Linked DNA regions of Drosophila melanogaster. The protein of the gene in region 2 interacts with the protein of the main gene of each other region in a biochemical or structural test. Each region holds a gene or a part of one and is shown on either strand. Other genes may lie near its edges. The genes, in order: tgo and ss.

Evidence for each region.
Region 1: the proteins of ss (region 2) and tgo form a complex in vitro, tested with the Drosophila melanogaster proteins (one study listed by BioGRID).

Annotation. Positions count from the first base shown.
Region 1 is NT_033777.3:9,016,180-9,021,944, forward strand, and holds tgo (tango), read right to left. Parts: upstream 3,844-5,765; 5' UTR 3,698-3,843; intron 3,556-3,697; 5' UTR 3,504-3,555; coding exon 1,575-3,503; 3' UTR 594-1,574; downstream 1-593. Other genes in the region: CG11986 (uncharacterized protein), read left to right, coding at 1-89, 156-542; neur (neuralized), read right to left, coding at 5,614-5,765. UniProt on the Drosophila melanogaster protein: Heterodimers of tgo/trh are involved in the control of breathless expression. Plays a role in the cellular or tissue response to oxygen deprivation.
Region 2 is NT_033777.3:16,400,515-16,405,642, forward strand, and holds the start of ss (spineless), read right to left. Parts: upstream 3,177-5,128; 5' UTR 2,904-3,176; exon of another isoform or gene 2,882-2,903; intron 1,831-2,881; 5' UTR 1,382-1,830; coding exon 1,326-1,381; intron 1-1,325.

The DNA.
Region 1 (5,765 bases), 7.4 Mb from region 2:
ACAGTATTATCACCTTCCAGTCCAGCAAAATTATGTCCTGGATGCACTACCGCATGCCAGCGATCCTGGAAACCGAGCAGCAGATGAATGTGAGTAAAGCATTTGTTAATCCTTCGTTAATCCAGGTCCAATTTACCCATCCTCGCATATTCTAGGATTGGCTGGACTTTAAGCGAGTTAGCGACAAGGAGGCCTTGGCTACATTGCGTCCGGCTACCGAACTGCAGTGGCATCGTGTTACCAAGCTGGTAAACAACTCGCGAAACAAAAGCGAGGAGTGCAACAAGCCGATCGAATTGGCGGCTAAGCCCGCAAAGCCACCGATGAACAAAACGATGATGTCTTGGCTGAATGCCCGTAAGAAGCGGGAAGATCAAATCAAAGCAAAACAGAGCGACGATGAGGATCAGGAAAAAGAAGCTACGACCATGGGAGGGACCTCCGCTGACGGCTCACCCGTAGAGAGGCCCGCCAAGCGACCCAGATTCAGGGACTTTAAGAGGAATCGTACGGCAGCTCCCCCGCAGAGCAGCGGCAGCTAGATGAAATCGGGCAAAAGATAAACCTCATCAGTAACTAAAGTTCCATAGTTTGTAGTACATTAAGTTTATTTTCAGTAAAAACCAAAATTTTTATTCTCAATAACCAAAGTTTTAAGCATTATCATCGTTGTGGTGAGCTTACTTACAAATGTTGGGACTTAGCGACTAAAAAGTTGTTTAGAATTTGTTCTCTCGAAGTGAGGTTAACTAACTAATGTTATGTTTGAACTTGACGTAATTAATTAAATGGTCTCATTTCTGCGAGTGCGATTCAATTTTGAGCGCCACTGTATTGAGCTTGGAAGTTTTTGTTGTCGCGGCATAAAATGCAATTAAAACAAAATGAAAAGCTGCACATAAAGCATGTAAAGTGTACATATCGACCGTATATTGTTTGCTCGTCTACGTCTGATTGCCTTGGCGAAAAATGAGCGAAAATTAATGGGAAATGGTGTCAATGTTGTTCGCGGGAAAAGCGTGGAAGTGGTACACTTGCTGAGTTGCTTACAACTATCAATTTGTGGTATATTAGGCTACGAATTGTTTAATTATTTATATATTTATACGTTGTATGAACTTTAAAATGCTCAATGACAAATACAAATGAATACTCTGCACACAGCGTGTCCACATATGAACTTAATCCTATATAATCGATGAGAAAGTTTAGAATTCATGGGCTATATAGCGGTGTAAACACATTGCCTTTAGTTACGAACAATCGTAAGGCCTTAATTGTAAATACTTTTGCACGGCCAATGAGCGGGTTAAGTGGAGGCGGTGGCGGGCGGGCTAATGGATACGGGAGGTGGAAGTGAAGAAGACGTAGCACACAAAAATAAAGATATCTGAATCGTGTACGTGACTACCCCTATGTACTTAAAATGCTATTTACGAGATTACAATTTGCATGCGTTTGGCTGAATTATTTCAACAATGTAAGATGGATTGCACTTGAGAAGTGGTTAAGAGAGACACAGATTAAGTTGCGGGACGGGGGAAGAGTGGGAATCGAAAGAAATGGTGTGGGTATTACTCGAACGGCGTGCTGAACATATTGATATTCAGATCCTCAAACGTGGTCGGCGTGTGATCCAACATCTGCAGCATATCTGAGAACTCCTGACCCTGTGGCTGTCCTGCTCCTGCTGGTCCACCGGGATGAGCGTGCGGATGGTGCGGATGCGCCGTTGGGTGCGGCGGATGCGGGTGTCCTCCAGCCTGCTGCCAGTCCCACATTCCCGGCGCATTGGGTGGCGGTGGTGGTCCCGCCTGATATGCTCCTGGCTGCGCTTGCTGGCGATTTCCGTTTCCGGCACTCAATTGTGTATAGGTTGGACCGCTCGGCGACCTGGCCGGACTCGTCTGCTGATACTGATAGCCTTCGGTCACGGGCTGCTGCTGCTGTTGTTGCTGCTGGGGACGCAGTGCTGCCCAGGAGTTGGGTGCCACCGGCGTGGGTGAGGTGCCAGACTTGGGTATCTTAGCCAACGGTGATGGTCCGCCAGCACTGTACGGCGAGTGTGTGGTGTCGTAGGTATATCCGACTGGTGTGGTTTGCGCCGATCCTGGCCGTTGCTGTTGTTGCTGCTGCTGTTGGGGCGTAGGAGCCTGCATGGCCAGCATGTGCGTCTGGTACATGCCATCATTCGTGGCGCTGCCCACTGGAGTTAACTCGCGGCGCGCATAGTCCACTCCTGGGGCAGCCTGAACATAAACGTGTTGCTCCTGCTGCTGTTGTTGTTGCACTTGCTCGGGCGTATGAGCAGCCGCCGCATCCAGGGGAGCACCGTGCATGGTCTTCCCAGAACTGTTGGTGCACACTATATATTCCACTTCGTCGGTATATGGATTCAGAAAGGCATAGGCCTGTGTGCGGAGCCAAACGTACTCCGAATTCTTAGCTCTGGCTCTGTACAAAAGCGAGAACATCTGTCCCTTTTGCTTGAGCACCTGGTCAAAGCTCTCCTTCATGTGGCTCTGGTCCTCGGGATGAAAGAAATCGTAGCAGATCTTCCCCAGCAGCTCAGTAGGAGTATATCCCAATATGTTAAGGACACGCTGATCCACAAACGTGAACTTGCCATCCATCGCATGACGTGTGATGAACTCACTCTGATTGTTCGATCCACTCATATCGTTGGCTGCCGTGGAGGTGACCTGCAGACGGCCGATGGCCACCAGGCAGCAGTGCGAGCTCATGTCGTCCACATCGCGCTCCATGTGCATGTTGGGGAACATATCGGTGGGCGGCCAGTTTTTGATATAACCCGTGCAGTGAACCACGGCGTAGTTGGTGCCATCCCTTGAAGGTCCGAGGGAGTTTCGTTGCTTGAGACGATTCAAGTGCCCCGAGACCATGGACTCCGGGTTTACATTGCCCACCCGCATGCGACAGATGAAACCACGACGAGCACCCATGCTCAAACGCATGCTGGACTGGTGACCCTCCTTTTTCACAGTTCCCGACTTTAGATCCAGGATGCGGCCGGCATTCTGCGATTCCTGGGTTGATAATTGCTCGCGGATCTTCTCGCGATCATCGGGATGAATGTGCTCATACAGGCTAGTGCCATACCAATCGCTTTGGGTGTAGTTCAGCACGGGAGTCACCGAATCCGATACATAGATCACCCTGCCCGAGTCGCAGGATACCACGAACAGGAAACCATCGGCCGCCTCCAGGATAAGATGCTTAAGCTCCTGGTCGGTCAGGAAGGAGGGCTTGTAAGTGCCATCGCTGCTGGTATTTCCTGTGCCACGCAGTGCCTTCATGTGAGCCACTGCCATGCGGAGAATGGTGAGCTTGTCCGGTTTGCGGGCCAGGGCACTGCAGGTGGGCACCATGTCCGAGAGTTCCGTGATGTAGGCCGTCATCTTGTTGCGGCGACGTCGTTCAATCTCGCAATGGTTCTCGCGGCTGGCGAACCGCTCCTTGTCCTGTATGTTCGCCTCGTCCATGCTTGGAATGCGTAATTAGAAAACGTTCGTCGTAATTTGGGTCGCCTGTGCTCTGTGGAAAAAGGTTCGTGGAATTGAGAGAGGGGCGGGGTAGGGGTAGGGGTTAGTATTTTGTCTACGTCGTGCTTGTGTGTGTACACTTGCTGGCTGGCCAGTAACCTTATTTCCCTCGCTTTTTTTACCCTTCTACTCACCAATGGGGGGTGTACAGAGGTACTTGGTTTATCCAGGCAATTTTATTCGGCTGGTCTTATGCGCTTTTACCATTAATTCTGTACTTTTCTTCTACACTACACGATAAAATCTCTGTTTACTGCGCGAAGTGTGACCGTAGTGTGGACTAACAAATATGCCGATGCAGTGTATAGCAAATCGATAACAATGCGCTAGGTGGCAACACAGGTGCGTTGAATCAAGACCAAGTGGCATTACTATAAAACTAGAACGTTACATTTTAAAATTTTCATCCTAAAAAATAAACACAAATATACAATAAAATTTTAATTTAATATTGACTTTTTTAAGGCCCAGCTATCTGTTGGCTAATTAAGTAAATCAATTTACCGCTTGTCGTGTGGTGAAAATGTTTTTATCTTTCAAAAACATACAAGATCGGCGTCCATTTAAAAAATCGCTTTTCCCAGAAAATAAATAAAACCATCATTGTTTCTGATATTGTTGTCAGTATTTAATGGTATTACAGCATTGCGTTTTCTTACATATATCAAATATAATTTCATAAATACATTTAAATGTTTAGTCATAACTAGGCGCAGTATCGTAATTTTACGAACTATGATTCTTTAAAAAATTAAAAGTTTATTATTAGTGGCAATAACATGTCTTCATTTACTCCTATCCGGATGCATTCTTATAACAAAATAGTAAGCTTGCGCTTTATTCCATTTCGCATATTTCTTTGTGTTCTTTGCTTATTACATTTTTTCAGTTTTAATACAATCTTAGGTAAAGTTTTATCCGCTTTGCTTGTCCTTCATGTTAAATCTGCTTGGTATTGTTAATTAATTATTGGCAATTTTCTAACTGCATGGTTTATTTAGATGGGCATTCCATTTTCCATATTTCATTCAAGCTGTTGGTACAACATACAAGTCTTTTGTTCTATGTTTATAGTTAAATATATTTAAGTCTCCATTAAAATACGTGCACTACTTAAGTGTAATTTAAAATGCGGCTTCATTAAAATAGCTTAGCGTGCTTAATACGTCTTTTTTGTGGTGTCTTTGTTGGATGAAGTCCGGTTTAGATTTAACTTCAGCATAATTCGTTGACTAGAAATTAACTTAAGTACTTAGGGCTAGACTAATATTAACTTTAAACAAACACGCTCTTGCAGTTTTCTATTTTGGTTTACGTGCATAAGTGTTTTCTGATCAATCTTTGTTCATTAATTTGTGCTGCAAACTTATTTGAGTTGCGTCGATATCCATTTCCTTGCTGGAAAGTAGTCAATATTTGCTTCTTGTGATTTCATATCAAATTAAGGTCATTCGTAGTTGCTGCAAGCTTAAACATAACTTTTCAAATCCGTTAACAATTTTATTTTGCCTTTCAAAACATTTAGCACCAAAATGATTAATCGCCAAATAAAGAATCCTTGTAGTTTGTGTTTGTTAATTTTGCACATCGTTTGGAATTTAGACATAGAGAAAAACTAAGTAAATTTGCAACAACTTTCAATTAATTCCAATTTAAATTCAAAATACTATAAACTCCTATACAATACTTTGGTTTTTCAGTATACAACGCACAAATGGGCGATTCAAGGTTTGAAAAAAATTGAAAAAACGAAGATATCTTTGTTGGATTGAACAATACATAGTTTTGGCTCTGGGGCGCACTTACTTATAACATCACAAAAAAATTAAACATACGTGTGATAAATTAGTTGATAGTTTCATACACTAATCTAGCTGCGTAAACTATCTAATCTTTAGTCTGCAAAAATAATGCCTATCTCTCCAATATAATATTCTTTGCGCTCAATTGCGTTTAAAATGCAACAACTTGTGTGTATGGTATAATGTGTAGCTTTAGTAGGTTTGATTGCGAGTAAATGTTGCTTGGCTAGGAAACGCCCGCGACCTTTCTACGTGGTGTAGGTGCGGATGACGTCCCGGATCACCGCCCGGCACAGTGGGCACTGGCCACCACCCACTCCGCGCCACTGCTCGATGGCGCAGTCGTAGCACATGCACATGTGTCCGCACATGTACAGCACCGAGTCGATGGGATTCTCGT
Region 2 (5,128 bases):
TTTGTTCTTTATCAGACTAGCAAGAACAGCGAATTACGCGACTGCCTGTCGATGGTGAAACGTATTAAGTTGAAGTTTTACGGCGTAGTCGGGAACTTTAATAAAAACGAAATTCAAGGAGAAGGGGAATTAAATTGCACACAAGGAACTTACTCTGAAGTGCACAACGCCTTGTACAAACAAATGTTTCAGTTTAAGTTGGTAAAGTTTTAATAGAAATAATATCATAATAACATATAAAGTTATTATTATCTATAAGGTCTATATCGAAATCTTTTAAAACATCTAATGTAAAATTTTAATACTAAAGCTAAGCGGTTAATAGTAAATATTCCCCGTAGAGTATCTTTGAAATGGAGCTATACTGTTAATAACTGGTTTACTAATCCGACTACAACTAAGTAGACGAACATTACACGCCATATTAGATGAGTTGGATAACCAATCTATCAACTGCGTGCTTATCCTAAATAGATCCTGGTTCTTCGCTTTTCCGAAGATAATCTACGCAGACCTGAGCTGCCCCGTTCTGCACCCTTTCAAGACTGAGGCGCTGAAGCTGATCAGTGGCTCTTGATTATGGGGGTCGCAACATTAGCGATCGGTGGTCTGCACTTGGCGAGGGGGCGTGGCCGGGCTGCAGTTGCCGCTCCTCGCCTTCTGCATATTTAGCAGTGCTGCTCATGATAATGCGTGAGTTCTCATATATTTATATTGAAAACATTATGCTTTGTGCGGTTGCAGCAGCTAAGTACACAAAATTATCAGAAATTATGTGCACCTTGGGACAGGCAGATTCCGATCTCCCCCAGCGAACAGCCGGAGGGGCCGCCGTCATCGTCATCATCATCAGCATGACCGTTCATCATCATCTCCATCAACTGTTTGGCTACTGTAATTTCACGGTAACCTGCCCCGACATGCATAATGCAAATCAATTTGAGGCTATCGGGCGGCAAAGGGGGAATTCACCGCCCTTCATTTCATCCGAGGGCCAAGTCAAAAGTCAATGGCGATGGCAATTTGTCAACAAAGTGGCCACCGGATCATTAATAATCGAATCTGGGGTATTCAAGACCAGTAGCTACGGAGATTGATGGATCGTCAGCGGGTGGCGCCACAAGGTGGCAAGCTGGTAAGTGGTAAGTGCAGCCAATCGCATTGATTGAAATCTTTCAGTAATAACAGAGCACCCAAGAACCCGCTCCACAAACATTCCGCCTCCCGCTGTGCATTTATATCTGAATCTGTATCCGTATCCGTATCTGTATCTTGGGATTCGGATCGGTATTGGTTTGTGGGATTGGACTGGGGCTTGGACTCACCTCTTGCCGTTGCGTCGCCTTCGCTTGGTGGCGTAGACGGTGCCCAGCTGGCTCATTGCTAGGGCGGAGTTCGTTATGGTCGCCGTCGTGAATGATTTTAACTCTTATTATTTTTCGTATCAATATTTCGTTGTTGTCTTCTGCTGCCTTCTGCTCGTCTGTCGTACAGGTTGTTTCCTCGTCGTGGCTTTCTTATTTCGCTTTTTTTCCTTTTGTAATTGGTTTTTATTTATTGATTTGGCTTGCTCTGGGTACACACTCTCACACACACGGACTCGCACACAGACACAGCCAGGAGCTGAGTGCGATCAGATCCGCTGAGATCCTGCTGCGGTTTTCGGTTTCGGAGTTGTAGCCACGCGTAAATTTCGTTTTTTTCTTCTTTGTATTTATTTTTAATTATCATCACGCTTACATTTTGTTTGCTTTTTCATTTCTCGCGCTCCTTTTGTTTTTGTTTTTTATTTTTTTGTGTATATTGCACTGTAGTTTCAGTTGGTTAGAGCTAAATGAGGGATTTAATGCGAAACTGTGATTCAGCAATTGAGAAAGGCTGGGAATTTTGATTTTTTTTTTCATTCGATTGTGGGTTGTATGATTTTCTAAGGCGATAACTTCGGTTCAACCTAATAGATTTTTTAAGTAATTAGTCCCGACGGAGAATGATTTCAGTTTATCTAAAATAAATCCAATTAGTTTAAGTTGGCAATGTCATGGAGCCGTTGTCTAATACGATTTGATTTTGCCTTGCATTGTAGAATAGTATAATATGATATTAAGGCTTTACTTTATTTTGAAAATTATATTTTGGTAAATTTTGAAAATATATTATTCATAAAAAGAATATATTTAAATTTGTTTCAATTTTTTCTCACAAAGGACTAAAAAAGTATAACAGATTATGTTAGCAAGTTATTAAACATCAGAGTCAACCAATAGTGTTGATTAATTTGAATGGCACATTCTAGTCAGAAAACTGTAAAAATCCCTCAATCCTTTTTCAATTGCTTTCAAAAACGAGTTGTTGTTTGTGTTGTTTTGTTTTGATTCGAGTGGCTGCGATTTGCAGGTTATTGTTTTGGTTCTTTCGTGGCAACACTTTTGCTTTTTCACTTGCACTTTTGCCGTTTGTGTTGGTAGTGTTGTTGCTCGTGGGCTCTGGTTTATCAATGGGCGATGTTTGCGATGACGACGCATGCAACAGAGGAAATCAAAATCGGCACGGAACCAAAAGCGCTAACGCAAGAACGGCACGCAAATCATTTTCATTTTGCGGCACGATCGACGTCGACGTAGGCAGATCCGCCGGCAGAGCAACCAGAGGCGAGTTGTCAAAGTGACATTTTTCAGGCACGCACACACACACGCGCGCGTGGGTGTGTTGGAATAGTAAAATAGATAGAAGTGAATGACCGCCGGCGGTCTGCAATTCGCACACGTGACTCCTCGAAGCCTTTACAGAACCTCCAGTTACAGGGTATCGCGTGCTGCGTTTCGCTTTTGTTTCTGTTTTCGCCTCTATTGTTGTTGTATTGCCTTATTCGGGGGACACTCACGCACACACAAACACGCACGCACCTTTTAGCGGGATTCTGGCGACGGCGAAACAACCGTTAGGAGGGAGCAGCGACTGCAACTGCACGCGAGCGCCAGAAGCGAGTGAATGAATGAACAACAGTGCCAAAAAAACGGACAAACGGGCATTTGAAACGAGGCACAAAGGCGATGGAGCGCGCTCTCTCACTCGCACTCGGCGCGGTGCTCTAAGTCGCTATCTCTCACTCGCACTCTTTCAAACGTGACTCTGCTGCGCTGCGGCCACGTAAACGCTTTGAGATTCCAACAAGAACTGAGCGGCGCCACGAAACGAATGGAAAAACCAGTCCTGGCGGAACACACTGGCCATGGAACACGCGGGCGGCGTGTTTGGGGCCACTTCCAGTCGTCCTGGCAACGAGCGATCGCCAAGCGACGCGGTCGCGTGGGAGTGAGACAGAGCGAACGATGTTCCACTACCAACCGTTCCAGCGTCGCCATACGTGCGACTGGAAGGGAGCGACCAACCAAGTCGGTCTTGGAAGTGCTGCAGCTATCTCGTTCGCACCCTGTAGTTTCGTTATAGGGGGCGTGTTCGCACACACATACTACACTGACAGCCTAGTAGCGCCGACTCTTTCCAGCGCACTACCAACTGGAAATAGAAATTCGGGGCACATCGCTCATCTCTTAATTAATTAGGCGGTAATTAAGAGCTATCAGTGTTATCGCTCAATGGCATCTATCCGCCATACTCTTCTCCTATTTCAAACTTATCTGAGCCGGATTTTACCTCGTTTTGCCACTGAAATGCAAATTTTATTTGGTGTGACCAAAACCATTAAGGCCATAAACATGAGCACTCACTTCGCGCTTATCGCGAATGATTTATTCACATGTGCCACCTGACAACCGCAAAAGAACAAGGAGAACGAAATGCACACCGCTGCCCTGCACAAAACCAGAAATCATATTCCTACACCTAGACGGGCAAAATGTCCGTGCCCAAGAACCCGATTGGACAGTGTACGAGGCCCCTTTATCCCATGGCCCATATGCTGCGTCCGTCTTTGACCGCATGTCACAGATGGCGATGGAGATGCACTCGTCAAAGGTACAGTTGGCACTCATAAAGAAGTTTTTAATAAGTAATTGTAATTAACTTTAATAACAATCTATACAAGCTATTCATTTTGTAATTAATATGATTACTGTGATTTACCAAATAATTTTATGTTTATTTTTAAAAGTTGGCGAAATGTTACGTTATGAACTTTTTCCTTTGAAAACGTGTTGCATACTTGGTGGCGCTGGAAAGCCACAATATTCGAGCCCTTTCAATCATGCAGCCCATTGTAGTTCATTTGTGTGGTTTCCTAATTTGATTACTTACGTCCACTCTAATAAAACATTATTATTGTTATCGAATGACCACTGTAGAATGCCTTCAATTTCGAAAAAGCATTTTTCTTTTATTGTGACGTCAGCCATGTACGAAATTGTTGGCACTGTATTTGTATTGCGTGCAACTATTCAATGCCAAGTCAGAAGGCTGAAGAAAACAATATTTCCTCAGCTAGAATCTCCAGCAGTCTGGTGTCTCACTCAAATCTCGCTGCGTAAACTAAGGACAACAGCAGCTCCGAAGACAGCAGGATCAGAAGAATCGGGAGAATCAGAAGAGGATCCACTCCGAAGAATGAGCAAAACAGAAGGCAGCGCATGTCAATCGGTGGCACTAATAAGTGAGCTGAGTCGAGTGGAGTGGAGTGAAGTGTAGCAAAGTGGAAGGGCTTGCAACCAGTTTTGGTGCGTTGCAACTTTTTCCAGCTTGCAGCTTATCAATTTACGCTTCCACTTCGTAAGAGAAGTGCACAGTGCAGGTGCTTATTCCACCTCCCTCTAAATATTCTTATTTTGCACTGCCTTTCCTCTTCTTGCATTATCGCTTTAAAGTACAGTCATCAATTGATCTTTAAAATTGAGGGCCAATATTATGACCTTACACCTAATACTGTAAAAAATAGCAAAATATATATAAGAACTGAATGGATTTTTTAAATGTGCTTAATAATTATTTTCTCATTATTAACTAAAAAAATACATACAAAATATACACAATCCCACTGTATATGATAAATATTTATTCTGGGGTTTCTTTGCTGACTGCTTGCTCGTCCGACAATTTCGCGATGACGTCGTTTCCCCGATGAGGACTTATGAATGTTTTTCGCCGGCATCCTTAATGCGACTTTCTACTCTGGACC